Linked DNA regions of Notamacropus eugenii. The protein of the gene in region 3 interacts with the protein of the main gene of each other region in a biochemical or structural test. Links are inferred from orthologs where the notes say so. Each region holds a gene or a part of one and is shown on either strand. Other genes may lie near its edges.

Region 1 (9,743 bases), on a different chromosome or scaffold from region 3:
AAAAATCAATGAAAATAGGGAAGAGGAGAATAATGGTAAAGACCAAGGCAGACACTAATGAGATGGGGGAGAATGGGAAGAATGAAATAAAAAAGGGAAGGCAAAAACAAAGGCTCAGGAAGTATAAAAGAGAAGGAAATACAGTAAAGAGATCAAGGAATGCAAATAAAAAAGAAAAAAAAACACAGAAGGAGAAGAAATAGCAGATAAAGAATGAGATCAAATAACTAAGATTTAGGTGCTGCGAGTCTAGTAAATGGAACAGAGGAAGACTAAGGGCCAGAGAGCAAGATATATAGGCTTGTGAAGTTTCTGGGAAGTAGAAATTTCAAGACCAAGCAACATGGCTAGAATCTGGGCCTGGGGTTTCCACCTTCCCTCATCTCTTTCTGTTCTGCTCCTACCTTCCTAGAAACAGACTATACCGCAAAAATATTCTTCTTGAAAACCAGGCTTAACCCTTCCAACTGAGTCAGAAGGATCTGATGATAATAGGTACTTTCCAAAAGACAAGGTAGGGCCAGGGCAGGGTAGGAACATAGCGTGAGAACAAGCTGGGCTGAGCCAAAGCTGTGTATCCTTGGCTGCATACTAAGTGACTGGGAGCTGGCATGGGACAAGGAGGATGGCAGAGGGACGGTAGCAGCAAAATTAGAGTCTTCACTCTCACTCTCCGTCCCACCCTCTTGCTAGAATTTCCAGTTCTACCTGCTTTTAGTCCCTCCTCCCTACGTCTCAGCCAGGGGGTTTGGGCCAGACCTGTCCAGGCCTCATTACAAGAGAACCCGCCCAGCCCTCAGTCCTGGGGCCTGGTGCTGTGCTTCCTGTTTGTCCCTGCCCCTCCCCAACCTACAGCATCATCCCGCCCCCACTTCACAGAGCTCATTCCCTAAACTGGACTTTAGACAGAAACCTCACTTATCAGGCAGTCACAGGCAGAATTCCCAGGGAAGGGCTAGTTTTAGTTCATGACTGTTCCTGTGGCTGGCCACTCAGCTGTCATGTGGTTCCTGACCAAGACCAGAGCCAGACATTGAATCAGAGAGTTGGAAAAGACCTTATAGGTTATCTGCTCCCACCTCCTACTCAAGGCAAGAATTCCCCTATGTAAAAGGTGACCATCTAGGCTCTGTTCAAACTGTTGGAAAGTAAACAGATTCTAGGGTCAGATCCAAATCCTTTCAGAAACTCCCAAATTCTTCTGGATAGGAGGAAACCGATTTTTCTCTTTTAACTTATGACAAGTCGCTTATGTCCTAAACTCATCAGTGCAAGGTTGGGTGGGAGAAGAGGTATTATGAGACTTATTATCATGTCCACAAAACAAGTGAAAACATGGGAAAGGAGATACCCTGTTACCACTACACTTTAGACTCATTTGGCTCCCCTTAAGGAAAAGGAGGCTATTTTCATCACCCAAGGTCTCAGTTCAAAACACAGCCTTTAGCTACAAACCAAATGCCGGTATCAGATTGTCAAAGCTGAAAAAGCCTAATAGCACTGGGTTAAAAAAAAACTACCTCCCCCAAATGATAAATGATCAAAGGATATGAACAGGCAGTTTTCAGAGGAAGAAGTTAAAGATATCTATAGTCATAACCACTATTGATTAGAGAGATGCAAATCAAAACAACTCTGAGATACCACATCACACCTATCAGATTGGCAAACATGACAGAATAGGAAGATGATAAATGTTGGAGAGGATGTGGGAGAGTTGGAACATTAATTCATAATTGGTGGACCTGTGAGCTGATCCAACCATTCTGGAGACCAGTTTGGAACCATGTCCAAAGGGCTACAAAAATGTGCATACCCTTTGACCCAGCAGTACTGCTTCTAAGACTGTATCCCCAAGAGATCATAAATGGGAGAGGGTCCCACATGTACAAAAATATTTATAGCAGCTTTCTTTGTGGTGGCCAAAAACTGGAAATCAAGGGGATACCCATCAATTGGGGAATGGCTGAATAAATTGTGGTATATGAATGTAATGGAATACTATTGTGCTATAAGAAAAGATGAACAGGAAGAGTTCAGAGAGGCCTGGAAATACTTATATGATCTGATACTGAGTGTGAGTTTTTTCTGTAGACTTGGAACTTCATTGCAACGCAAGGACTTAAAATTCCTAGTGGTCTTTTAAGGCAAAATGCCTTCCACATCCAGAGAAAGAACTAAGGAATTCAATCGCAGAATGTAGCAGATCATTTTCTTTTGTTTTACATTTTGCTTTGTTATATGATTTCTCCCATTCATTTTAATTCTTCTACACAGCATGACTAGTGAAAATGTATTTAATGGGAATGTATGTGTAGAACCTATATAAAACTGCATGTCATCTGGGGGGAGGGGAAAAAATCTAAGTTATATGGTACTGATTGTAGAACACTGAAAATAAATAAAATTAATTTAAAAAAAAACTACCTCCAATTTGGGGCCAATTGGACTAGTTCCTGAGCATGAGGGGTATTGGAAATGGAAACAAGAAAGTAGAATGAAGGTGCTGGGGGAAAAGGAAAGAAAAGCCAAGCTAGTAGAAAGAAAGAAGAGAGAAAAGATTATATGTGTTCCAAGACACACTTCTCAGTTCTCCTAGTTGAGGTAGCTATGTGGCACAGTGGAGAGTGCTGGGCCTACAGTCAGGAAGACTTGAATTCAAATCCAGCCTTGAACAGATGTGCTAGCTCTGTGACCCTGGGCAAGTCACTTAACTTGTTTGTCTTACTTTACTCAATTGTAAAATGAGGATAATAGTAGCACCTACTTCCTAAGGTTGTTAATGAGGAATAAATGAGATAATATTTGGATAGCTCCTGGCATAAATTAGGTGATTAGTAAATGTTTCCTTACTTTTTTATTGCCTGCTGCAGGTTTTGAGCGAAATTCTGTTCAAAAGGCCAAAGGTGAATGGGAGAATGAAGGGAGGGAGAGAACTGACTCACCTCCCTAACCCCTCATTCCTAGTTTGTCAGTTGGCATCTGTGTCCTGTCTCCTCCCACTCAAGGAAACAAGTTCAGAGCAGGACAGGCCCCCACATCTCCAGCTACAGGAGGGCAATGAAGTTAATGAACCGTTAACTACATCTCTTATCTTACAGCCAGCCAGTAATAATCCCCAGGGAACCCAACTGTAGCCTAAAAACAAGCATTTCCACAACAATTACATGGAATTCAGGAAATAAGGCCAAAAACATCGAATCCAGCACAGGAAACAGGGGGACACAGCAAAGAGCCCTTCTTACTCCACCTGAAATGCCTGGAAACTGAAAACCAGGACCTGCAAAACTAGCATAGAATTTCAATTCAAGTTCTTTCAAGCCCCTTGTTCTGTACTATCCCTTAAATGCCACAAAACATTCTCCCATGCAGAATTATACCTCTACTTTAGAGGTTCTCCCACCCAGTTTCTAGGCAGAACTTCCCCTAGGTTAGCCCAGTCTGTTGGGATCTTTCCTACGTGAAGAAAACTCCTGGAAAGGAGATTCTAGCCACCTCACTTCGTCACTAGTTCTGCTAATTCATACCTCCTTCTTTCCCAATACCTAGTCCCCAAGCTCCCTGTTATTTGTAATTTCTAGCCTTTCCTTCTAATTTGGTCCTCAGAGGAAATGAGAATAGCAGGTTGCCTTCCTCCATATAATAGCCATGAAGAAACTTCCCAGACTGAGATTCAGCTTTTAATTTGACAAACATTTATGAAACACCTGCTATGTGATAGGGTCACAAATACAAATAACATCACAGTCCCTACATTTCAAAGAACTCACAAAATTGAAGAGACTTGGGCAAGCATATTTATCTTCTCCACTTGCCCCTGAGGACTATTACATTTTGGTGGTTGTATTCCCAGTACCGAGTACAGTATCTTATACATAATAGGCAATTAATAAACCTTGGTTGAATTAGCCTATACTTTCAACTCCGTTCCTTACCCTCTGAGATATCCTTCTAAGAGAACTCTGTTCTTTTCCATACACTAGATCCAGATAGCATATCTTATTGTGGAAACCTCCAAAGAATTCATCTTTGATCACTAAAGCAGAAAAGGTAGATGGGTCAGAGAATGGGGAAACACAGGTCTGAGGAACTACTCTACAGATGCTTCAAGCAGACAAAAGAGAGAAACAGTCAAGCAACAGACTAAAAGCAACTCTACTTTCTACATCCTACCAGTGAGGAGTTAGAAACATACACTTCCCTTCTGCTTCATCTTCATCCATTAAATATCGCATGATGCTCTCCCCAGATCGATCTCAAAGTTATGGCAGTCTCCACCCTAGCCCACCTAAGTAAAAGTGCTCCATTCTGAGGCAGTGATCATCAGATAATACTATCTTGCATTTATGCCTATTATCTTATTTCATCTCCACCACTTTTGTGAGGTAGGGGAGGATACAGATTTTTTTTTTAAACAAATAAGAAGTAAATCCAGAAAAGTTAAAAAGTGATTTACTTAAGGACCCTGGTCTCCTGCCTCTTAGCACTATTCAATTTCACCATCCTCTGAACATGCTATGTCATGTACTCAACTATACTCCTAAGTCAGCTCTACTAAATCAATCTTCGGTTCCTTTTACTTCACCCATTACCCTGCAGATCCCCAGGCTGCAGCAGCTGTTCCTCTGTTCCTCAGTTCTCCTCACTTCACTTTATATCAGCTGACATAAGACTTTCCAGGTTTCTCTGAAACTCTCCTTTTTATCATTTCTAACGTACAATAATATTCCATTATATTCACATATCTTAAGTGATGGGCACTCCTTTAGTTTCCAGTTCTTTGCAATAATATAAGAGCCGTTACAATTACTTTTCTTATTATATTTCTTTCATTTCTCTAGGTTATCTATTCCTCCATTCTCTAACCAGACTAGGAAGTAGTCTAATAAAGTACTACTCAAGTTGGGTCAAAACGCCTGGAAATTCCCATGAGATGTAAAAGAAATTAAGAGAAGAGGACAGAAAAGAAGAGTCCAGGATTCATTAACTTTTGACCCCTTAAAGCCACTGGCTAGAGAAAAAGGAAGGCTAGAGTGTCAGATTGCCTCTGGTAATTCAGACAGGACATTTTGTCTGAAAGGGCTCAACTTCTTGAATCTTAGATATGGCACAAGGAACTTAGCAAAGCCAGTAAATTTCTAAAGTTTAATCAGAGGACAAAGAAAAAGGAAAAGAAAGGAAAGAAAAAAAGGGAAATAAAAGAGAAACCAAAGGGAAAAGAGGAAAAATGAGAAAAGAAAAAAGGCACACAAAACCTATACACTGTTTACCCCACAAGCACATATACTCAGATAAGACAGATAAACATTCATATAACTCATTTCCACATATGGATACAGGCATAAACAGGTTTCAACACAGACTAACCAATACAAAAACCTGACAGCTAGCCTAGACGGATATATCTAAGGGCACAGGGCCCACCAAAAGCGTTTCCCCATTGTTCCAGAGGAAAGGGAGTTTAAAAAAGAAACAAAAATCCTGACCCTGGGGTGGAGGAAGGGCAGTATTGTTCTGTGTAGGGAAAAAGTCCACCCAATCGACAAACACTCCCCCCTCCCCAAGGGGAATGGTCAGTTAGTCAACAACAAAGATAAAAGTTTGGCGGAGGTAGGACAGCAACAGGGGAGTCTAAGGGAAGTTCCGCCTGTTTAAGCCATTCCAAATTTCAACTTTACTCCAATTTGGGGATAAATGGCCCCCTGAAGCAACAACCACGGACTTGCAAATAGTAAGGAACTAAGCGGGGGAGGGACGGCGCATTCCCGTGAAATCAGGCAAGTAGCTAAAGAAAAGGTCTCCTCGGCAACAGGAAAGAAATCTTCACCCCCTTCCCTGCCCAACCCACAGCCGACCATAAACTGTGACCCCAACCAGGTGGTGGGAAGACACAAAAATGAATTTTAAGAGCTATTCCTCCTATATGTGGTTCTGCCATAGAACCCCCTCTCTAGGTTGTATAAGTGTATGGGGAAAATAAGCGAGTGGACAAAATTCCTTAAAGGATTGTGTATATAAGCTATGAATAGGGTAAGGAAATAAGAATTTATATAGCGCCTATTAAGTGCCAAGCGCTCTACAAATATTTCATTTGTATGTATGTGTGTTGAGAGGGAAGAGGGAAGGAGAACGAGAGAGCTAGAGAGACACACAGACAGAGAGAGAGAGAGAGACAGAGAGACAGAGAGACAGAGAGAGACAGAGAGAGACAGAGAGAGACAGAGAGAGACAGAGAGAGAGACAGACAGACAGACAGAGACAGAGACAGAGAGACAGAGTGGAGAGACAGAGTGGAGAGACAGAGACCGGGGACAATAGCACAAAGCCCTCAGTAGGGCTGCAAATGGGGGGAAAGCACGTTGTGTATGCATGGGGGGAGGGGCCAAAACACTTTCCTAGGTGGGGGCCGAGCCCGGGAGAGGGGTGGAGCACCCGACCCCCATCCTACTCCAACTATCCTCCTTAAAACCCAGAGCACTCACACAGGGTCGCCGCTGTGAAAAAAAGGAGAAGGTGCCTCTGCCCAGCCCGCTCCGCCATCCTGATCAATCCCGATCCGATCGCCAGATCCTCGCCGCTGGCCAAGGTTCCTCTAGGCAGACTAAGCTCAAGAGTAGCCTTTTCCCCAACCGCCGCGCCCAGACTGAACCCCAGCCACCAGGTGGAATCCCGCCCCCCACTTCCCGCCACTCCCGATTGGTTGGCGCTCCGCCCCTTGTATAGTTTGATTGGTAGGGAGAGCTGCTCGGACTCCTGAGTGATTCACCGTAGCCAGGTGCAGCCCCACCCAGCACCTAACTCCCGGTAGGATTGGAACAGTTCCAAGACCGAAACTTTTCTGATTGGTTTAGGCCAATGTCACTCCCTCTGACTAATTCCTAGCCTTCTCCAGGTGAGGGCCACTCACCTGAGTGATTGGACGGTATTCCTGTTGACGATGAACCACTGAAAGTACGTCTGGGGTCTGGGAAGAGGCGGGGTAATCTAGATAGGGTTTCAGGTAAGAAAGCAGGGGAGGAGTCCCAAGTCTGGGAATCCAGTAGCGGATGTTTCTTGAATACCAGGAACCTCTTAGGTACAGCAGAAGAGAATCGTTAGACTGTGGGAAGGGTGTTTCCGTTATAGTTCTATTGTGTATAACCTCTATTAAGTCGTTCTTGCTACATTCAAGGCAATTATTTTGTTCATGACTTATTAATTCTATCACATTCTTCACAGGGCTCCTTCCAAACCTCTCTGCTCAAGCTCCCCAATCCACCTCTGTCCCCATTGCTCTCCCCAGGTTACCTCACCTGCCATCATAGCCTCACAATTCCAGCCCTCTCAACTCCTTCCCTCTTCTATTATTCTCTGTGACTCATCCTACATATCTGAGGTATGAGCTTACGCAATCACTTCAACTTTCAGAGCCTCTCTTTCCTCATCCATAAAATAAGGAAGTTCAGCTAGATGATCTCTAAAGTCCACTTTCAGCTCTAATGCTATATTACTTAATATGTTTCTTCCTTCTCTTTCAAAGGAAAAGGGTGACTTTCCTTGTTGTTAATCCCAACCCAGATCATTACATTCTTTCCTGTCTCATGACCTTCCCCCAATCTGGCACTTCATAGGCCCATAGGATTATAAATTAAGAGCTAGAAGGACCTAGACTAGGTCATTCAGCCTAACCCCATTTGACAAATGAGGAATCTGAGACAATTTGTTTAACTATTCCTTTAGCCAATTTTTTGCTGTCACAAAAGTACCCCTATGATATTTTCGTATGTGGGGACATTTTTCTTATCAATGACCTTTTTTTATCAACAGCTTTCTTGGATTAAAAGGTATGGACAATTCATTTACATAATTCTAAATTGCTTTCCAAAATGATTATGCTGATTCCCAGCTCTGCCAGCAATGCATCAATATGCCTATCATACTACAATCCCTCTCACATTAACTATTGCCATTTTTTGTCATCTTTGCCAATTTGCAGGGTGCAAGGTAAAAACTTAGGGTTGTTTTGATTTGATTTTCTTTTATTATTAGTGATTTAGATAATTCTTTCATGTGATTGTAAATACTTTGCAATTCTTCTTTTGAGAACTGTTTGTTCCTATCCTTTGACCACTTATCTATTGGGGAATGGCTATTAGTCTTATATTTGTTAATTTGTTAATTTGGTTAATTTGGTAATCTGGTATTTTGAATACCAGATCCTTATCAGTGAAATCTGATACAAGTATGTTTTCCCATTTGAGAGCATCTCTGATTATCCTGATTCATTAGTTTAGTCTGTGCAGATTTCAGTTTTGTATAATCAAAGTTCTCGTTTTATCTTTTCTAATTGCCTCTGTCCTCCGTTTAAGAATACATGTTCTACATATAGCTGTGAGGGGTACGTAATCTATTCTAATTTTTTTTATTGTAGGATCTTTAATATTAAGGTTGTGTATCTATTTAGAATGTATTGTGGAATATGGTATAAGGTGTTGGTCTATGCCTAATTTCTGCCAATCTTCTTTCCAGTTATATACTGTTACAGTGGAGGATATAGAGAGATGGATTAGATACAGAGAGCTTCAGAACTAGTTTGAAGGTCAGACTCAAAATGTACTTAATGATTCATGCCAAAGTGGCAGGATATATTCAGTGGAATGTACCAGGGATCTCTCCATGGCCGTGTGGTATTTAACATTTTTTTCATTAATGATTTGGACAAGCACAGATGATATATGCTTATTCAATTTGCAGGTGACCAGAATTTGGGACAGATAGAAAATATTGTGGGTGATAGAGTCAGGATCCAAAGGGATCTTGACAGGAGGAAAAGAAAGAGAATTTCAGGCATGGGGGAAAGTGAGTGAAAACGCAGGGAATGACAAGATAGCAGGAAGTAAAGGAAGAAGAGTTGAGCTTTACCCCACAAGTCCTCCAAACAGATCTAGAAAGTGTAGCAGACCAAATCCTGATTAGGAAATCCAAGAAAAAGTCAAAGTGAATAATATCTCCAGCCCAGGTCAGCATAGTGAGGCAAAAGAGAAAGTCTGCTGACACTGGAAATAAGGTCTCTCCAGGAATGATGCTAGGCTGTGTACTGAGCACGGAGCTTGTTCAGAAATAAGCTATGTGACTGATCCTAGGAAAAGAGAGAGGACTCAGTTCCAGGTCTTAGTCCAGTCTGAAATCTATAGAGGAATCAATAGGGAAGGAATCGTAGAACAAAGGGGAGCCTACAGGTTGTCACTCTAAACCAACAGTGTCTTCCAGATGGCTTGTAGTAAACGAGTTCAGCAGCAGTCTACTGGAACTTCAGTGTGGGCCAAGTTCACAAGTATGTTGATCTGACCCAACTTAAGTCAAGAACTTAAAGAGCTGAAGTCTGATGGCTTTGCCCAGGATGAGACCTTGTTTGGGAGCACTGAAAGCTTGCAGGTTCCCAGCATGAGCTACCCCAGAGATCCTGGAATAACACAATACTCAGTACCCCAAAAAGACAGCAGCAGAAATCTAGAGGACAAAAGGTCAGTGCAAACGTTACCTCTAGAAGTCCTCAGAGCTTGTCCCAAACATAAAGTCCAAAGTCAGGAAACAGACTGTACAAATGAGCAAACAAAACTAGAGTCCCACCATGAAAAGCTACTGGGTTGCTCAAGACACAACTCCAGAGAGAATAACTCCCAAACATCTGCAAGCAAAGCCTTCAAGAAAAACATGTTGCGGGCACAAGTTCAACTAGAATTCATGAAAGAGATGAAGTAAGA
Region 2 (9,743 bases), on a different chromosome or scaffold from region 3:
AAAATTTTAAACACTTAAGAAAGAGATGGGGAAGATGTTAATAATGCAGATTAAACACAAAAGTGTGCTATAAATCATTTTTTTGGAAAGCTGGTTGTTAAACATTTATCGGCACACCCGTGGACTGACCAGTGGAGCATATAGTTCTCAGCCCAGCTGGACTATGTGGTGACCAGCTTAGAACTGCAAGAAATATGGAAGATCATTTACTCTAATCCTATCACTTTATCAAGTAATTGAGGCCCATAAAGGAGAAGAGACTTTCCCAAGGTCATACAGGTAGTAGAGCAGGGATTTGAACTCAGGACCTCTGGCATAAATCCTGTGTATTTTTCATCACACCAAGATTCTTGACTTGAATGCATATATGCACATATATATATATATTATATGTATATAATCCTCTGTATGGCTGAGCTCTTCTCTAAGGCTTAAGGGTATACATTGGTGGAAGGAGGGGACTTTGGCCAGTTGAACTTTGCACCTTAGGTCCTGCCTCTAGTACTGGAGAGAGCTGTTAGGCAGGGCCCAATGCCTAGTAGAGAAACTTTTTCATTGGAGCAAGTCCTGAAGATTATGGAAAGTGAGAGCAGAGCCACTGCCCCCTGGATTCAGGGAGGGGTGTCTGAGTGGGATCAGGAAGGTGTCCAGAATGAAAGCCAGGGCCAGTCCCAGAGATGTAGAGTCATGACTTGCCCCCAAGATTTTAGAATGGCCTAGGGGAGATGGGCTGGGGTGGAGTGGCCTCAGGGTTGAGAGTAGGGCTGGTATCTTGGGAGAAAAATTGTAGAACAAAGCTAGGGCCCTCTAGGTAGCAGGTCTCTGTAGCATCCCTAGAGGACTGAGCCATTCCCCAGGGTGGGAGAATCCCAGGATGAGGGGGAGGGAGGGCAATGCCTGTGCAAATCACACTGCACATCATGTACTTCTTCTCTCCCTCTACCAAGAGAAATCTGGTTACAGTATGTAAGATGATGAAGGTGGTCTTGGTCTTATTCTTTTGCTTTAGGGCATTTAGGCAGGGGATAACTAGCTTGCCATCATCAGGTAATGGGGCTGCAAGGCTGACCATTTCTAGCTACAGAAGACGTGTATATGATGGTGATGGTGGTGATGGGGTTATCTGCTTGCTATCTGTCCTTGTCAATGCTTCTTGGGTCAAGGGCTAAATTTCCATGTCTCTATCTGGGGATAAACATTCATTTCTCAAGCATGTGTGTTCTTCTGGGGAAAGGGGAAGAGCTAGAGGTGGGGGTAGACGAAGATGAAGATGACCCAGCTCTGCCCCCTGAGGGAACCAAACAATTTAATGCCAGTGATGAAACGAGGACCTTTTTGACCATCATACTCAGAAGAATGTGACACAAACACCCTACGTGTTCTGAGGAGTGAGGGGGAGGTTCAGATGAGGGAGAGAGCATTCCAGTAGGAAGACGGAAGGGGAAAGTATGTTATTATAGTGGGCTTCCTGGAGGAAGTAGTGCCTGAAGTGGGCAACAATTTCAACAATTGAACGTTGGGGTGGGGGAAGGGGCATTCCCGGAGCAGAAAGTGATGTGAACAAAGCCTACAGAACGGGAGACTTGAGGGTGAGAATGAGGAGAGCGTCTGTCCCCAGTTTGGCTGGAGTGTAGATTATGGGAAAGGAGTATTGTGGGGCAAAATTCTAAAGTTAGGGTGACAGCAGATTGTGGAGATCCTTGAATGCTTTGCCAATGTGCTAACGGTAAGCAACGGTAAGCTCCATCAAAATACTGTTAGCAGATGGACTTTCCTGGGTGGTGATGGGGGAGTTTGTGGGTGTGTGTGTGTGTGTGTGTGTCTGATCCGACCCAGCAATGATCCAGGCTCTGACCCCAGCATCCTGGAGCAGACAGATACATAGCTGGGGTGAAGGCTTGAAATCTGGAGTCCTTCAGGACTGTTGTTGGTAACTGTATAAAGGCTCAAAGGGAACTAAAAATTTAGCTGACAGAACCCCAATACCATTTTAGGACAAGACTGCTCATCCCCATTAGGGAGAAGGGGCTGGAAGGAGGAAGATGGGGGTGTATTGTGTTTTCCAGGAAGTGTGAATGTGTAAAAGGCTTCAGGCTGTGAAGGTGCCACTGGGGTTGGGGGCGGGGTGGGGAACAGAGGTTCTCAGAAGGTTCACTGACGCTGAATTTATTATCGGGAGATCCCTCTTCAACACTATCTCTGACACCTTTTCTAACACATCTCTGAGTCTGACATGTCTCTGAGCCTCTGACAATGTCTCAGATCCCTTGACATCACCTCTGAGTTCCTGATACCCATCTCTGGATCTCTGACTGTTCTGAGGCCCCTACATGCTCTGAGACTCTGAGAAGATGTTTGAGCCCCTCCTTCATGCCTTCCCCCCCCCAAAAAAAATATCCTCAGCACCAACCCCTTCCTACTAGGCAGGTTATGGTTTCTCTGAGCACCATGGGAATGTTTTCCCCTACCCCACCCCAGGATGACTCTAGAGGGGGCCTAAGCCCTATCTCAACATGGAAAAACCCCAGGAGATGCTGCAGCTCCAGGACTCATCATCCTGCCCAGGGGTGGAGGTTATGCATCTCCATCCATCTTCTCCAGCAGACACAGACACACAGACAGAATCACAGACGCGCTGGAGGAGAAGGAACCCACTGTGATTAGGGAAGGGGGGAGGGACAAGATGTAGGGAGATGCTTGGGATCCAGGCGTCCTGGAGGCGGCGCCAGGTAACCAGGCTCCCCCAACCCCACTAACCACCCCCCCAACACACACACCCCCTCCGCCCGGGGCCGCAGCAGCCCCTCCCCCCGGCCCCGCCCCCGCCCATCCCCGCCATCCCCCCGCCCCCGGGCCGCCCCCCGCCCGTGACGCGCTCCCCCCTCCCGCCCGTGAGCCGCGGCGAGGATGCTCCGGCGCCGCTGAGCCCGAGCCCGAGCGCGGAGCCGGGGCCGGGGCCGGGGCCGGGGCTGGGGCTGGGGTCGGGAGACTCGGGCCGGGAGCCGGGGTTGGAGCCTGGGCGGAGCGGGACCAGGGCCGGGCGGGCTACCCCGTCATGGGCAAGGACCAGGAGCTGGTGCAGGCGGTAAAGACGGAGGACGTGGGCGCCGTGCAGAGGCTGCTGCAGAGGCCGCGGCCCGGGAAAGCCAGTGAGCGGGGGCGGGGGCGGGGGCGGGGGGGCTTTGGTCTGGGGGCGGAGAAAGGGGGGGTGTCTGGGAAGAGGGTGGGGGGCTTGGGGCAAGAGGGCCCCCGGGGTGGAGATGCATGCCTAGGAGATGCAGGGTCCGGAGGCGATGTTGGGTCTGGGGGCACGCATTGGGAGAATTTGGGGTGTCACGGGAGGCCCTGGTCATCTGTGAGGGCCAGGGGAGCGTGCAAGGTCTGGGAGGGGGTGTAGGTGGGGAGACATGGAACGAAGAGATGCTGGGGGATAGGAATGCAGGGTCTGAGGGGATCCCCAGGGGACCTAGGGGGTGGGGAGATACTGGGGGGTTTCAGTGTCTCGGGGCTCTGGGAGGTGGGGGGGATACAGGCTGAGGGGGGCGGTGTCTTTGGCCCCGCCCCCGGTAGCCCGCCTCCTCTCCCCCCCCCCCACTTTAGCCAGAGGCTGCAGAGAGGCTGGCCTGGGGCCGAGAGAAGGTGGTGGGGGCCAGGCGATGACTCGCCCTCGCCAGGCTCCGGAGGCGCATTTTATTCAACAGCCCAAACCCGCACCTCCCCCTACCCTTCTATGTCGTCCCTCCACCTACCCCCCCCCCATCTCAGCACACATACTCAAGAGGTATACAGAAAGCTACAGGGATACAGAGATAGATGGGCACAGAGAGGGCTAGGACAGACAGATGCAGGGTCACAGGGACTCCAAGACACACAGGTGGACACACATAAGCCAACTGGGCCACCTGGACAGTCCCGCGTGTGTGTGCTCTAGCTTCACATGCTGCCTCTCCCTAGGTGTTTGGGTGGGGAAAGTGAGGGGCAGGGTCCTGCCTCTCTAATTCTCTCTTTCAATTGATGATGAGGGGCTGTCCGTCCTTGTAGCTCCCCAGGGGGACTGGGTTGGGTCTTCTATCTATACTTTCGCGTCATGCTTAATAACAAAGGTTGGAGAAAACTGGGAAGGGGCCACCCTGAGGGTGTGGCTGATGTGACCGTGTGTGTATGTAAGTATGTATGTATGCATGTATATATGTGAGAGAGGTGGCTAAAGGCAGGGGACAGAGGGGAGGGGCTCTGTGGGGAGACATAATCCCATTTCATGGCCCCTCAAGAGAAGGTTTAGGCAATGTTTTACTGATGGGGAAACTGAGGCACAAAGTGGCTGAGTGACCTGTCCAAGGTCGCCCAACTTGGGGCAGAATCAGGATAAGGACTCAGGTGTCTGAGCTACCAGTCTATTCTTGGAGTCTATTTCTCTAGCCTAGGGGGATCTCTTATCAAACAGTCTAGAGAAGCTGAGGATCTCTAAGCACGCAGTGCCCATCTCCTTCTGCTGATATGGGAGGGAGGAAGCTAGCAGAGTAGTGAGGTTAGAACCCTTGGCTGCAGTGAGCTCCCCCTGGGAGGGCCTAGGAGCCTCTGCTCAGCCTCCTGATCCTAACGCTGATCCTGGCTCAGCCGGAGCCTCCCCCAGGAGCAGGAGATGGATGGAGGGGCTGGGAGAGGGCGGGGGAAGGATGGAAGGGGGGAGAGAGATGGGGATAGAAGCCAATTCCTAGAGTGTGTGAGATTATGCCTCCCTCTGCATGTGACTGACTGCGTGTGTGGCTATGGCATGTATATCAAAGTGCATCTGTGTGTGAGCAGTAGTTGGCAATATGTGTGCAGAAGTGTGTCACTGAGTGTTCGTGAACAATTGCAGGTTGTTTATGTGAATCTGTCACTCTGCCCCACCTATTCTCAAGACCTGGGACCAATGTAGGGGGAGGGGTTTCTTGGGAAATGGAGGCAGGAAGCTCCCTCCTCCCCAGGGAATGTCAGGGGCTTGAGGCAGTCTCAGTCCTGGGGGTGAGGGTGGGGAGAGGGAGGCAGTCATCAAGCCCCCAAGGTAGCCAGCCTCTGGTCCAACCCTTGCTTAATGTTTATCCTCTCTGGGGAGTCAGAAGGTGGGATAGAGGTGGGAACTAAGATCCCAAGTCTGATTTTTTTCAGGCTTCCTTAGAATCAGATGGGAGACCAGAATATTGTATGCACTACCCCCCTATACATGGAAAGATAAACACAATTATCCACAGACATATAACTGCCTATATATACACTGACAGACACAGGCAAACACACAGAGACAGACACAAAGTATGAGGAGGTGGGAGCTAGTTAGAGTAAGGGGCTTCTCCCTCTCCCTCAGCATTCATTTCTAATCTCTCTGATCTCTGTCAATTCTTGGTAGCTCTTAAGACACCCCCTCCCCTCAAGGCAGAGTTCTCCCCTGAGGATGATCATGCCTTTTGATCACACATAGGTTCTCTCAGAAGTTTACCTGGCTTAACACCCTCCCCCTCCCAAGGGTCACAAGTCAGATGTCCAACTGGAAAGTCCTGAACTAGAGACAATTTCGGCTCAGAGTCAGAAGAATCTGTTTCTAGGCTCTGTAAGAGCTCAAAGTTAGGTACCGAGACAGAGGGAAAGAGAGACAGGAAGAAATAGTAACAGCAGAGACAGAAACTGGGAGAGACAGAGATGACGCTAGGGACAGGGAGAGACAGTGACAGGGAAAAAGAGACACACAGAGACAAACAGACAGAAACAGAGATAGAGACAGACAGGGACAGGAACCCCAACTCGGTGCTCTGACTCCAAGGGGGCGGGCTTCATAAATCAGAGAGGAGAAACCCCTTCATGAATTAGCACGGTTGCCATGGTGACACTGGCCTGCTTTGGAGTAAGATATATTTTGATTCAGCAAAGTGCAGCTGGAATTTGGGCCCAGGGAGTGGGAGGGTGGGGCCGGGGCAAGGAGTGATGTTCAGTGGGCAGCTCTGGTGCTTGGAGGAAATAGAAATTTTTCCCCACTATAATCAGAAGGCTCTCATGTTTTTCATCATCCCTCTGACTCTACGCTTACCTGGCTTCCCATTTCCACCATTCTCCTTTCTGCACCATCCTCTGATTATCTTTCCCTTGCCCCTGTCTGCTTCCTCCATTATCATCCACCATCCACTTTACCTATCATCCTTTTTCATAATCCCTTCTTATTTCTATCACCAGTTCATACCAGTCTAGCTAGCCTGCCTGAACTGAGTGCCCCATGTACCCAATTTAACATTCTCCTTTGGTATGTGGAGGTGGGACTGGGGGAAGAAATGCTGGCTTTTAGACCTATCATCTTGGGGGATGAAAAAACAAGACAGAAGTGGGGTGATCAGGGGGCTAGGCTGTGGAAGAAGGGCCTCAGTTTGAAGGCTATAGAAACTGAGAGAAAGAAGTTCAGTGTGAACTGGACTGGTCAAACTAGACTTCCCCAGCCTTTCCCCAGCCTTCCTGAAGGAAGTGAGACTTAAGCTGGACCTTGAAGTATGAGTCAGACTTAGATAAGAAAAGATGGAGGGAGAGGGAATTCCAGGTAGAGGGAACTATGACCAAAATTTCAGATGTAATTTTCATAAGTATCCCTGGTGCCCTGACACATAATAGACATTTAATATATAAATGTGGAGGCATCTAGGTAGTACAGTGAATAAAGCACTGGTCCTAGAGTAAGGAGGACCTGAATTAAAATCCAGCCTCAGCTGTATGACCCTGGGCAAGTCACTTAACCCCATTGCCTCAAAAAAACACCAAACAAAATGTTGAACTTTTTTGAATTGAGATAGGTGCAAGTGTCTGGATATCAGTTTTACATATTAGAAGACAGGCTGAAGTGGTCCATGATTTGCCCAAGGTTATATAGAAAGTAAATATTCAGACCGGGATCCAACACAGTTCTCCTGACTTCTGAGACCAAGTCTCTTTATACTATACCACTTGAGTAACTGTATAGAGTGCTGTATTTAAGACTGGGGTTCTGAGGTTAGAGCCCATGAACTTCTAAAGTTCAGTTTTCTCATTTGGAAAATAGGAACCGTAATATTTATATTATCATCTCCACAGAGAAGTAGAATGGAATGGTGGATATAGTGCTGGTCTCAGAGCTAGGAAGACCTGGGTTCCAGTCTTACCTCTGGCACATGCAGGCTTTGTGATACTGGTCAAGTCACTTACCCTTTCTGTGCTTCAGGTAACACACTAAAACTGTAAATTGCACAGAATGTCTCCATCTGCATTTGTAAAGTAAGTTCCCTAATGGAAATTCCTCTTGTGTCTATGGAATTAGACCTGGGGGCCTTATCCCTGTAATCTTGTGCAGTTTAATTCAACAAAACATTCTTATTTTGTCCCTACTGTGTGCAAAGAAAACTTTTTGGATACAAAGGCAAAACACAGATTTACCCCTACTCTCAAGGAGGTTATGCACCATTGAGAGAAATTGTAGAGAGCTATGGAAAAGTGAGTTATTATGTATATGTTTTTGTGAAAGGAAGTACTCTGGGGCCACATTGTAAAGGCCCTTGAATACCAAGTTAAAGAGTTTGGGCTTTATTTAGTAGGCAGTGGGGAGCCACTGAACATGTTTGGAGCTCTGGAGAGATGGGAGCAGAGTGGTACAATGGGAGGATTGACTTGGCACCTCATGCAGCACGCATTGGAAGGGAGAGAAGTGAAAGCTGTTAGGATCATCCAGGAAAGCAATAATGAAGGCTTCTTCTAGGGCGGTGGTTAGGTGAGTGTAGAAGTGGGAACAGATGCCCAAAGTATTACTGAGGTAGGTCCTGATGGATGTGGGGATTTGATCCATAATTGGGCAATTATCTCCTACCATCTATATCCGTGTATTCATGTCTGCCTCTGTGTGTTTTTGTATATAAACCATGAGGACCATCTGTCAGTGGACTGTAATCATTTTGCTCCCATATCATTTGAGGATGCTGAGAGGCCAAGGGCAAGGGTCAGCCTTGCCCACCTCATTGTGACCAGAGTGGGTGATGGGAACAAGCAGAAGCATCAAGGTACTGATTCCTCCAATCTTCTGCCAATCAACTCACAAGGAATCTGTCATGATATCAGAATAATGATGTGTATGTCCACTCTTCCCTTAGAGTTTGGGCTGCCCAAGAGCAGGGATAGGACTGAGAGAATCCAGAGGTACAATTCTTCCTTAACTTACTACACTATACTCAGAGCTCTCCCTCTTCTCCCTCCCTCCCTTCATGTCGTAAAGCTATTCCTCCTAACCTATGCCAAAACCTTAGCTTTATCAGAGCTTGACTGAAATCTAGGGGTTAAATGTATGTATGCAACCTCTGTCCTTGGGGATCTCTTAGTCTATGGAGAGACCTACCCCATGCAGAGGGGATACAGGACACACTTAGATGCACTTGTCAGTGTCTATGGGATAAGATGTGGTATTAGGAGCTCAGAACAATGTTATCTTGGGATTAGTGATACCACTGAGTCAAGGCAGTATCATAGGGTTAGTGTAATATCTTGGAAGTGGCAAGATGATCTATCCCAGGGTTATGGTAGTGATATTATGGTATGATTATATCTCAGGGTGAATGTGGTGATATCACAGGGTCATTGTGGATATTGTGAGGTCAGTATTCTGATATCTCACAGTCAATGTGGTGATGTGGGCTCAGAATGCTTGTCATAGCATCAGGGTGCTTGATATCTTGAGCTGGGCTTTGTTGATGCTTGCAGGTCAGTGTAATTGTCTTAGGGTTATTCAGTGACATTAGGATCAGGTTGGTTAAGATCTGGAGTCAGAGCTGATATCAAAGGATGGTATATGATGATAATCCAGTGGGAGGCTCTCAAGGTCTCTGTATGGTCATTTATTATGTCTGCTGAGGAAACTCCTGGGCTGAAGGATTAGCTGTTTTCCCTAAAGGAAGCGAGACAGAGCTGATGACCTCAAAAAAGCCTTGGAAGACCAGAAGCTATCTGTGACCTTTTGTGTGGATTTTCTGAGGGAAAGAGGGGTTGGGATCCCATAGCTTCTCTGTCCTTCCCATCTCCCCTCGCTAAATACAAGGAGATCTCTAAGAACTGGACTGGAGCAAAAAAGAGGACAAGTGTCCTGCATTTTGGTTTGATTTTCTAATCAGTCTGATGGAGGAGACAGATTCTCCCCAGCTCTAGATGTCATCAGGATAACCAGGCTATTTCTCTCTGTTTTTGTGTCTGTGTTTGCTTATGTGACTCGTGTGTGTGTGTGTGTGTGTGTGTGATGGGGATAGAGGATTCCTTTTGTGGCAAGGACCCTCCCATCTTCCCAGTGTTAGTTTAAATCTATCCCAGAAAATCAGCCTTCTTTGCTGTAAAATTTCACCTCCTGGCCAGGGAGAGGCAAGCGTGGGTGCCTATGTATGTGACAGTTCAACAGTTCCTGGATCTGTGACTGTATGAATGTGTGACTTCATTCATTCAAAAAATATTTGTTGAGCACCTATTATGTGCTAATGAGGTAGATCTGCTCTGCTATGGTGTGACTGAGCAGATGTGTGTGTGGGTCTCACTGGATAGAATCGCAGAACCATAGAGGGCCTGCGCTGGAGGAAATTTACAACACAGAATATTAGTGCTTGAAGGGATTTAGTGCCTTGAATATTAGTGCTAGAAGAGACAACGCTGAAAGAGACCTTAGAACACAGAATGTTGGAGCCGGAAGAGACTAGTATCCAGAATGCTAGCTGGGAGGGAGG
Region 3 (9,743 bases):
AAAGAGTTTTGGGGGAAACTTGCAGTTGGAGGGACTGCTTATTGATCCCTCTACAGTTCCTAGGCTTATTGCAGTTGAAAGAACAGGAAGATCAGATAAAAAAAAAAGAAAACTGCTGAAAAAACTTTTTGTCATGGGCAAGACAATATCGTCATTGGGAGGAAGATTAGGAAAAGGTGATTTTTATTGATGAACTTCATTTTTCATTCAAGGCTTTATCAAAACTTATCAGAAGTCTGAGTAAGCCAATAAATGTTTGAGTATTTTTTAATTCCAAAGGTACTGGAAGTCTTGTCTCCACTGAGGGAATGATGAATTCTTGTATACATATACGCACACACTCTATATTTCTATCTACCTATGTAGGTATATGTATATATACATATATGTATATATACACACATACACATATATGTATATTTATTGAGTAGAATTGTTCCATAATTACAGAAATTCCCAAATGGAAATGGAATCCTACAATATGATCTTTCATCATGTCACCCATCAGAAAAACAATTAAGAAATTTATCCAAGAATTGGAGATAATCATCCTTCAGTGATCTGGAAACTCATCTGATTTACATTCCATTGGAAATTTATGGAAATTTATATAATAGACTTGGAAAAAATCAAATATTTGTCAATGGTACACTTAAATTTCAATTGTATAAGGATGGGTTCTTGATCAAGAATTACATTTTACTTGTCAAAATTCTGTGAACTCAATGCCAAATCATGTGAAATGCGACAGGACATATTGCATAATAAAAAATTTTAAGATGTAAAAAGTTGTAAGGCTTGTTTTTGTCAATTAGTTTAAGTATTTTACTTTATGCTGTGTACACAACACTATATTTCTTCTAACTCTACCTGGAAGAGAGACTCCGAGATGTATTTGCATAAAGATGGTCATGAGGGGTTTTTTTGTTTGTTTGTTTGTTAGAAGAGATTGTAGATAACTTAGAAAAGAACGGTTTTAGTTGTGAGTAGGCAGGGATAATGAATAGCTGAAACCCTGGGAGACTGAAATGATGGTGCTGCCATTCACAAAAACAGGTGTTTGGAAGACGGGTGAATTTTTGGGCAAAGGTAATATAAACACAACCTACCCATGACTGTTCTGAACTACTCCCTCTTGTTTACCGAAAAATGAAAAGTGGAATGTCTTACTCATCATACATTAGCTGACAGCACAGGTTCACCCCTTGCAATGATGGGATTGGGACAGAGGATAGGAGTATTCCTTGCAAGCAGTATAGGGTGCCTTGGTCAGCTTAGGTAATAACCTTTCTGAAGAGCCCAAGCTTGAGGTAGAAAAACTGGAGACCAAAGGTGGGAGTTAGGATTGGGGAAGGGGTAGAGAAATATTGAAAGCGGCGGGCCAATTGTGGAGAAAAGTCATTAGCTGGCAATGGGGGCATCCTTGGAGTCGTTCTACATCCCTCCACTTTGGAGATCTCAGCAATAGCACAGAATATCATCTATGCAACTTTTGGTTGCTTTCCAGGGACTACTGGACTCTGAATTGAAGCAAAACTATTGCTCTTCTAGGAAAAAGTTGCACTTGCTAATATTATTGGAGTCTTCTGAGATGCGTAAGATGAACGCTTACGGCCAGGATTCTTAATGGAGCAGGTTTGGGGAAGAAAGGAGGAGGGAGAGCTCTGTTTCTTGAGAGAGGGTTCAAGTACATGCACAATGCACAAGCAACATTTGAAAAGAAACTATGTATTTCTCTTTAGCGAATACTGTAGCTGTTACTTTATTACACTAGAGAATTTTACTAGATACTTTGTAGCGCTTGTCACTTAAGAACTGCTTGGGCACTTTTTCTTTGAACGCTGAATGGAGGGGGGAGGGGAGGTCTGTTTGAAGGATGTTTTGCACATTCTGCACGTGTTCAGGGAAGCAGAATTTCCAGGCTGCCTCACGCTAAGAGTTCAGGATACTCACTGCACCTTGTCTGCAATTCCTTAGGCTGCATTTTCTTCCTGGTTCGTGGTGGCCGTGTTGGGTTAGCTTGTTAGGGTTAGAAGGACAAGAAAATGGGAAAGTAAAAAAAAAAAAAAATTCCCACACTTCCCTGCTTTGATCCGAGGGCAAAGCACACTATGACCAGTGTTTGTCAGCACACCCAGGATCACGGGGGAAATACAGCGTGTTGCAAAAGCTATCAAAACTCAAAACTGCGCTAGGACGAACACCCCAAACCTAAGTGGTTTCCCCCTTTAAATGGCTAACACAATTGTTCCGCTGGAAGGAGTCGCATGGGTGGCATGCACAATCTATGTGGCATACCTTTGTCTACAGCTACCCGCTAGCCTTCTAGCGTCCTCCTCCATATGGTTGGACACGAGTCCGCCTTCCCCACCCCCTTCACTTCAGTAAAGAATGACGGGATGGGCCTGAAACCGTCACGGAGGAGCCTTCCTTTCCCATTCACTAAGGACGAAGCTGGAGCGCGGTCCCGCTCCCCGGGGAGCAGAGGGGGCACGGAGCTTCTCTGCAGCCCACAGCACTGCCACCTTCACGCAGGCGGCTGCACGCCGTGCCACTTCTCTCGGGCGACGCAGGGAAGCCAGCCTTCTTCCCTCCCAACCTGCACACGCACCTACAGATCCTCCTCCCCTTCACCCCCCACTCCCCACCCCGCCGTCGTTGCAGGAGCGCCCCCCCAGGCAACTGCACCCTTCCCCCTTCACCGCGCCCCGCCTTTCTCCCCATCCCTTTCCATCCCTTCTCCGCCTCATTTTCCCTCGTTCCCGTTCGCCGTGACGTTTCACCGGCGCGCGCATGCGCCGTGCACTCCCATCCTACTCCCCTTTACTCTCCCGCCGCCACCGCCTCCTGGAGGGGGGGCGGTGAGGGAGGAAAAAAGGGGGCGGGGCCTGGGGTTCTGGAAGCCGCGGCCGCTGTTGCCGCTGCAGCGGCCCGAGAGAGACAGGGAGAGGAGAGGAGAGAGGGAGGCTGGGGTGGGGGAAGGAGAGTACGAGTAGGCGGTGAGGCGTGTGTGTATGTACGTGTGTGTGTGTATGCGGGGGAGTCATCCGCCAGGAGCCTCGGAGGAGCTCGCAGGAGGGGACGTGCGGCGGCGGCTCCTCGCCCGGCTCGGGGACTGAAGAAGGGAGAGCGCCTCGGCGGCCGCCGCCTCCCCCATCGCACCCCGCCCCGGCTCGGCCCCCTCCCCTCGCCCACGGCGCGCGCTCGCTCGCTCACACAGCCCGGGCGCGGCGGCGAGAGGAGGAGGAGGAGGAGGAGGAAGAGGAGAACGAGGGGGGGGGAGCGGCGTCTTTGCCCCCGCCTCCAACCGTGACCGCCGCCCCCCCCCCCCCCGCCGCCGGAGTCCTTCATGGTCCTTCCCCGGCCCCCCCGCTAGCCCGAGGAGCCACCGCCGCCGCCAGGCGGTGGAGAGAGCGGGGCGGGCTGGGAGGCGCCGCCGCCCGCGGACGCCGCAGGGGAAGGTGCGGCCGGGCAGAGGCGGACGAGCGGAGGGGCTGCCGCGGCGGTCGGTCCGGGAGACCGGAAGGAGGCGGCGGCCCCGCGGCCCGGGCTGTGCCGCCGCCGCTCGCGCCGCCGGAGGATCCTTGCTGGCGGTCCCCCGGCCTGGAGGCGAGCAGGAGGGACGAGGACGAGGACGAGGCGGCTGGCTGCAATCCCCCCGAGAGTCCTCCTTGGCCGTCGTCGCCGCAGGTCGTGCCGGACCGAGCGTTCCCGGCTGAGAGGGCGAAGAAGGGAGCCCGCGGAGGGTGGTGGTGAAAAACAAAAAGCACCCACAGAAAAGCAAAGAAACACTGCTGTGGGCGGCGTGACTGTTTCTTGGGCACCCTCTCCGTTTGATTCCCCCCCTGGACCATGGCCGACGACGACGTGCTGTTTGAGGATGTGTACGAGCTGTGCGAGGTGATCGGCAAGTAAGTCCTCCCCTACCTGGGGGGAGGGGAGCGTGCCTGGGAAGAAACGCGTTCGCTGGCGCCCCTGGCCCGCCCCGCCCGCCGCCTCCTCGGGTCATCCCCGTGCGTACCTGAGCCCGGAGCCCGAGCGGGGCCCTGCCACCTCCCTCCCCGGAGGGATCCGATCATTTCATTCCCCCACAGCCCTGCGTGATTTCGGGCTGTTTACATTGTATCTGACGGCTGCCGCACATGGCCTTGGCAGAGCTGACTTGGTAGTCGCTCTCCGGGAGCACTTTGGGTTATCGGTACCACCTCACCTACTCAGGCCACGAGGAGAGGCTGGCATCTTTGTTGGTTGTTGAGTGGGTCGGGGGCGAGCTGGGGCTGGGGGGCCGAAGTGGACGGTTGCTTGGTTTATGGGGCGTGTATCCACCGGACTTGATATACGCCTTTGTGTCCAACCCCAGGACCTTATTGGAGGTGGCCGCTTAAGTCTACCTAGATTAAGGTTCAAAGGAGACCGGATTCGGGTTTTTAATGTCTCGTTATGCAACAATTATTCAAACAAATGTTCATTGCTTCTGTCAAACTGGAGTTTGGATAGTTGTTTTGGCGTGGGAAAGATAGATGTATGCTTTGAGTCACTAGTTTGGTATAGTATACGACAGTGACAGCCAAAGTTCTCATCCTTTTTATCTTGGTTGAGGAATGACACTAGGAAAAAGCCAGGGGATCCAATGAATAACAGTGCTGATGGAGTGTGAAATCTGCAGTCACTCCTTTGGGTTTTTTTTCCATCCTTTAAATTCGTTTTTTAATAGTTCCCCTTATAGACTATCTTAAATGCACAATTCTGTTTAACGAATTTGTGAATGAAATGCTGTTGATTTGAGGTTGGCTTTATTTTAGTTCTGCATGTAATTTGCACATTTAGAAGTTTGAATGGCAAGATGTGAAACTGGCCTCTCTCAGATGAGTTTGACAAGGGTCCTTATTAGCTCATTGCTTTTGGGGGAGAATGCTTTATTGTCTTCTAAGGTCTAGAACTGGGAATGAAGTCTGAGATCCGTTGTTAGAGAAACTACCTTGAACTCGAAGGCATTTTGCAGGGAAAGAACTGAGTCTAACTACCTTAGAGCGGGCTTGAAATCCTGCCTGTGAAGCTGACTATCTGTGTGACCTTGGACGAGTCACTTGAACTTTGTGAGCCTCAGTTTCTTCACCTGTAAAATGAGAGGACTAGACTCTCAGATGGACAGCTCTAGATCTGTGATCCTATGATACTAACTCTTCAGAGTATCAAGAAGAATATTGAAGAAAAAAATGACTTTTTCCTAATCTCTCCATTTCTTAACCCTAGCAAGTACTTGTGGCACTTACCTCTTCACTCTGCCCCTGCAGTTCCCAGTGTCCTTTACCAAGTTGGGTACTTGAAGTTGTAGATTTGCAGATGTGTATTTTATCTGTTTCACTAATTCCTGAGTATGAAAAGTGGGTATGCTGATAATGTTGAGCATAGGTTTAGAAGGGAGGTTCAGATATTGTAATAAACTGTAGTTCCCACATGATGAAATTGTGAGTACACCTTACATATTTTACTCATTGATTACTATGCCTACGTGTTCTTGTTTAACCAACTAGTATATCCTAACGTTCTCCTAACACTGTGGTGCGGTAATTATTTGAAGCTTTAGCAATTTCAGAAAATAGGATATCTTACTAAAAACAGAATGAAAGTATTTTAGGTATACATAGAAAATTCAAGAAATTAAAAAATATAAAATAGTAGTATTACCATTGGAAAGAGTGATCAGAAACCAGTTTTGCTAACTTAATTTTCTTTTCTTTTAGTTAGAATGTGTTGCAATGGAAAGAAGGCTAAATCTGGCTTTGCTTGCTACAAGTGTGACTGTAGACAAATCACTTCCCACTCTGAGCCTCAGTTTCCTTATCTCTTGGATGAGAATTGAACTAGAAGGTCTTTTTCAGCTCAGACAGTCTGTGATCACTGATGATACAAGTTAGGTTAGAGTCTATTTAAAATAGATGATGGAGTCATTTTTGGCAGTCAGTATTTTGATTACTTGAGATTATTTCTGCTTTTCCTCCCCCTCCCTCCAAGCTCAAAGAAAGCTTCAGAACAGTTGAACAAACTGGTCAGTTAATTTTAGACTGGCTTGAGAGGAAAAGCTAGTTTTGAACTGGTACGTTTTGAATCTATCTTAATTCCTCTGAAGAGTCAAATCTTATTGAAATCCATAGAAGACAAAAATCTCATCTGGACTTGGTATTGCAAGAGCGCCATTTATTTTCTTTGATTCCTTTAGTGAATTCTCCTGTGTTTTGAAGACAGCATTTTGAGGAAAGAATGTAGTGATGGTGATTCTTGACCTTTGGAAAGTTTGAGAGGGTTATAAGTAAATCCTTGCAGCATCTATTGAAACTGGCTTAGGGACTGCCTTCTGTAGACACTTGGAAAGCACGTAATTTTTTTTTTTCCTGGGATGTGTTGAACTGTGGATTGAAAAACCTTGAAGAAATTCACAGAGAAGGGGCTTGAAAGCACATCAATATTGTTATCTAGCTACTGTGACAGTCTACAACTTTTGTTTCTCTCCAACTAGTCTTATAAGGTGTTTTGAGTTATGCCATAACTGGCTTTAAGTTCCTGCTGAAAGTACTTTGAAGGAAATAATCTCTTTGGCAAGTCAACAGGGAAACAATTTTATATTTATTCGGTTGTTTAACAAATATCAGTTAATCTTATTTTGTGCAAGACCACACTGTTAGGCGCAGTAAGAAAGTTACACATTTTGATATACTTTGAGCTTGTTTTAGGAGGGTTTGAGTGTTTCCTGTTGAGATTATCCTCTTACAGTTTCTAAAAATGTTAGCTTGCAAGTTCTTTTTCAGTAACTTTGGAATGGGGATAGACTGGAAAACATTTCCTAGGACAAATTTATTTTGGCCTTTATAGTTATTTTGAGTAATTAATCTGTGAGGGAAATACATCCTTACATCAGGACATTTTGAAAATACCTCTGTTTTCTATAGATTACTTACATTTGAAACATTTCTCTAAATTTTAAGAGTCCAATATTATGTTTTGTTGGTTAATACCTTTGAAGAGACAAGAATTAAATTATAATGGTGATTCTTTAACATTTGCAGATTTACTGGTTAAGAAAATATAGTTGTTGCTGGTAAGGGAAGGAATTAAATTGAAGATATTAGAAATTTTTTACATTATTTTATTGTACTTTGTGCAAACTTAATATAAAATAAGCAATGGATACTATTATATATATCATAAGAAAATTTGAAATAATTGTTGGAACGAAGACATAAACTCCCTTGTTTATAGTTGTTTTAAGGGAAGGGGAACAACAAAATACACATAATTTTCACCCTTATTGATGGTATACCTATGATTGCATTTTGTGAAAATAACAAATTTTTAAATATTAAGTCTTGTTTCATCCCCCATCAGCCCCCCAGAAATGACAACATTGCAGAACAAGAGCAAAGTTAACAATAAAGTTGTAACAAAAATGTTATTGTTCAGGTAGATGATAATATTTTTAAAAGCTTAATATTATTGTGTAATGCTTCATATTTGGGGGAGTTACTGTCTGAAAACAAAAAATGCTTTTTGATTGTAAGTGCTGAATTGAAAAAACCAAGACATGGATTTTACCTTCTGTGGTTTCCTGGATAGTGATAGGCACTCTGCTAAGTTCTAGGGTTACAAAAAAAGGCAAAAAGAGTTCTGCCCTCAGGGAGCTCATATTGTAATGAGGGAAGACCAGGTAAGACCATCTCACACTTAGGAGGTATTTTTGAGATAAATTGGAGCTAACTTTACCCCACAGGGAAAGCACTGGGGCTATGGGTTGGAGAGAGAGAGAACAAGAAGGCGGCTTCTTACGGAAGGTGGCATTTGAGAAGAGTCTTGAAGGGAGCCAGGAGGCAGAGATGAGAAAGGGGAGAGTGTTTCAGCCGTAGGGTATAGTAGCCAGTTAGAAAGTGCAGAGTATGGAAGGTGGAGTGTCATGTTCCAGGAGCTGCAATTAGGCCAGTGTTCCAGATTGTAGAATACAGGGCACTGAAATAAAGTGTAAAAAGGGTCTAAGCTGAGAAGAGTTTTAAAAGCCAAACAGAATTTTCTGTTTGATCTTGGAGGTAATAGGGAACCACTGGAGTTTATTAAATGGAAATGACATGTTCAGATGTATGCTTTAAGATCACTTTGGCAGATGAATGGAGGATGAACTGGAGTGGGAAGAGACTGGAGGCAAGGAGCCAACTAGCTGTCTCTTACAGTATAGTCCAAGTGTGAGGTGATGAGGGCCTGCACCAGGGCAGTGAATCAGAGGAGAGAAGGGGAAATATATGAGATAGAAATGAAAGGACTTGGCAGTAGATTGTTTGGGGTAATTGAGAATGAAGAATCAAAGATGAGTTGCCAGCTGGGATGATTGGGAAGACAAAAATGCCCTCAGTAGCTTGAGGACATTTAAGAGTCAAGGAAAGCATTGGGGGAAAGAAAGATAATGAGTTGTTCTAGATATATAATGAGTTTAAGATGTTTCTAGGATGTCCAATTGGATGCCAATAGGTAGTTGGAGATATGAGCCTGGAGGTCAGGAAAGAGGTAGCTCCATGGATAGAACACTGGACTTGGACTAAGGAAGACCTGAGTTGGAGTTCTGCTTCAGAAACTAGCTTTATGACTGTGGGCAAGTCACTTTATCTGTGTAAGTCTCAGTTTCTTCTTATGTAAACAGGAAATAGTGATAGCTCCTGCCTGATAGGGTGGTTGTGAGGATCAAGAGAGATAACAGGTAAAAGCACTTTGTAAACCTTAATTAAAAGGCAATATATTATTAGAAGTCATTATTAGTATTATAATAATTTTAGATTCTGGCTGGCTTTTCTATACCTTTAATATTCACATTGATTCATTTCATCTAATACTAATATGGAAACTAATGTTCTTAACAGCATAGACCGGGAATTGCTTCTATAACATTTACTAATGAAGATGGTTGTCTGTTGGCACAACTTACTTTAATATGAACTGTTTCATTATTTTAATGTACATTGTTTGCAGTGCAGTATATTAGAGGGGTAGGGTTAAGTTGCTTTATGCTCTTGAAATTCCATCCTTGCAATTCTAGTAATATATTGTAGCAGGGAGTTTATATAAAATTACTATTTATATACATATTAAATACGTTTACTAGTTCAGTGATTCTCAAACTTTTTTGTCTCAGGAACACTTTACACTTAAAAGTTTTGAGGACACCTCTGTGGTTGTAGCTATATTTATATAGGTAGGTAATATCTATAAATATTTACTGTATTAAAATGTTAATAGTATTGTTATGAAAATAGTTTTGACTTTGTGAACCTCTTGAAATGGGGGGGTTCCCTTGACTTTGTGAACTGCTGTATTATGTTATTCATGCTGAGAAAAATCCAACTCTAATAATTTGTCCTAAATAATTTAGATTTCTCATATTGTCTGAAAAAAATGAGTTTCTAATAGCACCCAACTGGGAGTTTTAGGTTACTTTGACATCTTGCCTAGATGTGTTATTAGTTTTTTTATATTAGGAAAGTGGATACCTTTGCCAACTGAATTGTATGTATGGTGGTAATAAATGAAAATTTTTAGAGGTTTTTCACGGGAAACTTTTGGTCCCAGTCCATTTTATAGTTAACAGAGTTAGGTTAGCAAAGTAAAAATACCACTGGCCTTAGTGAAACTTGCTCATAGGCACAGATTAAGTCTAAAGATTAAATGTTCTGTGGAGGTCAAACAACTCTCCATAGAGAAAAGCTGTG

What was found.
Region 1: the proteins of CASK (region 3) and F11R form a complex in vitro, tested with the Homo sapiens proteins (2 studies listed by BioGRID and IntAct, with this or other methods). The link is inferred for Notamacropus eugenii from reciprocal best matches to the Homo sapiens genes CASK and F11R.
Region 2: the proteins of CASK (region 3) and CASKIN1 interact in a biophysical measurement, tested with the Homo sapiens proteins (2 studies listed by IntAct, with this or other methods). The link is inferred for Notamacropus eugenii from reciprocal best matches to the Homo sapiens genes CASK and CASKIN1.

Annotation. Positions count from the first base shown.
Region 1 is NC_092873.1:267,438,038-267,447,780, forward strand, and holds the start of F11R (junctional adhesion molecule A), read right to left. Parts: upstream 6,667-9,743; 5' UTR 6,541-6,666; coding exon 6,483-6,540; intron 1-6,482. UniProt on the Homo sapiens protein: Seems to play a role in epithelial tight junction formation. Appears early in primordial forms of cell junctions and recruits PARD3.
Region 2 is NC_092872.1:47,854,904-47,864,646, forward strand, and holds the start of CASKIN1 (caskin-1), read left to right. Parts: upstream 1-2,999; 5' UTR 3,000-3,055; coding exon 3,056-3,149; intron 3,150-7,324; exon of another isoform or gene 7,325-8,181; intron 8,182-8,387; exon of another isoform or gene 8,388-8,666; coding exon of another isoform or gene 8,667-8,739; intron 8,740-9,743.
Region 3 is NC_092876.1:432,454,107-432,463,849, forward strand, and holds the start of CASK (peripheral plasma membrane protein CASK), read left to right. Parts: upstream 1-3,722; 5' UTR 3,723-3,852; coding exon 3,853-3,911; intron 3,912-9,743. UniProt on the Homo sapiens protein: Multidomain scaffolding Mg(2+)-independent protein kinase that catalyzes the phosphotransfer from ATP to proteins such as NRXN1, and plays a role in synaptic transmembrane protein anchoring and ion channel trafficking.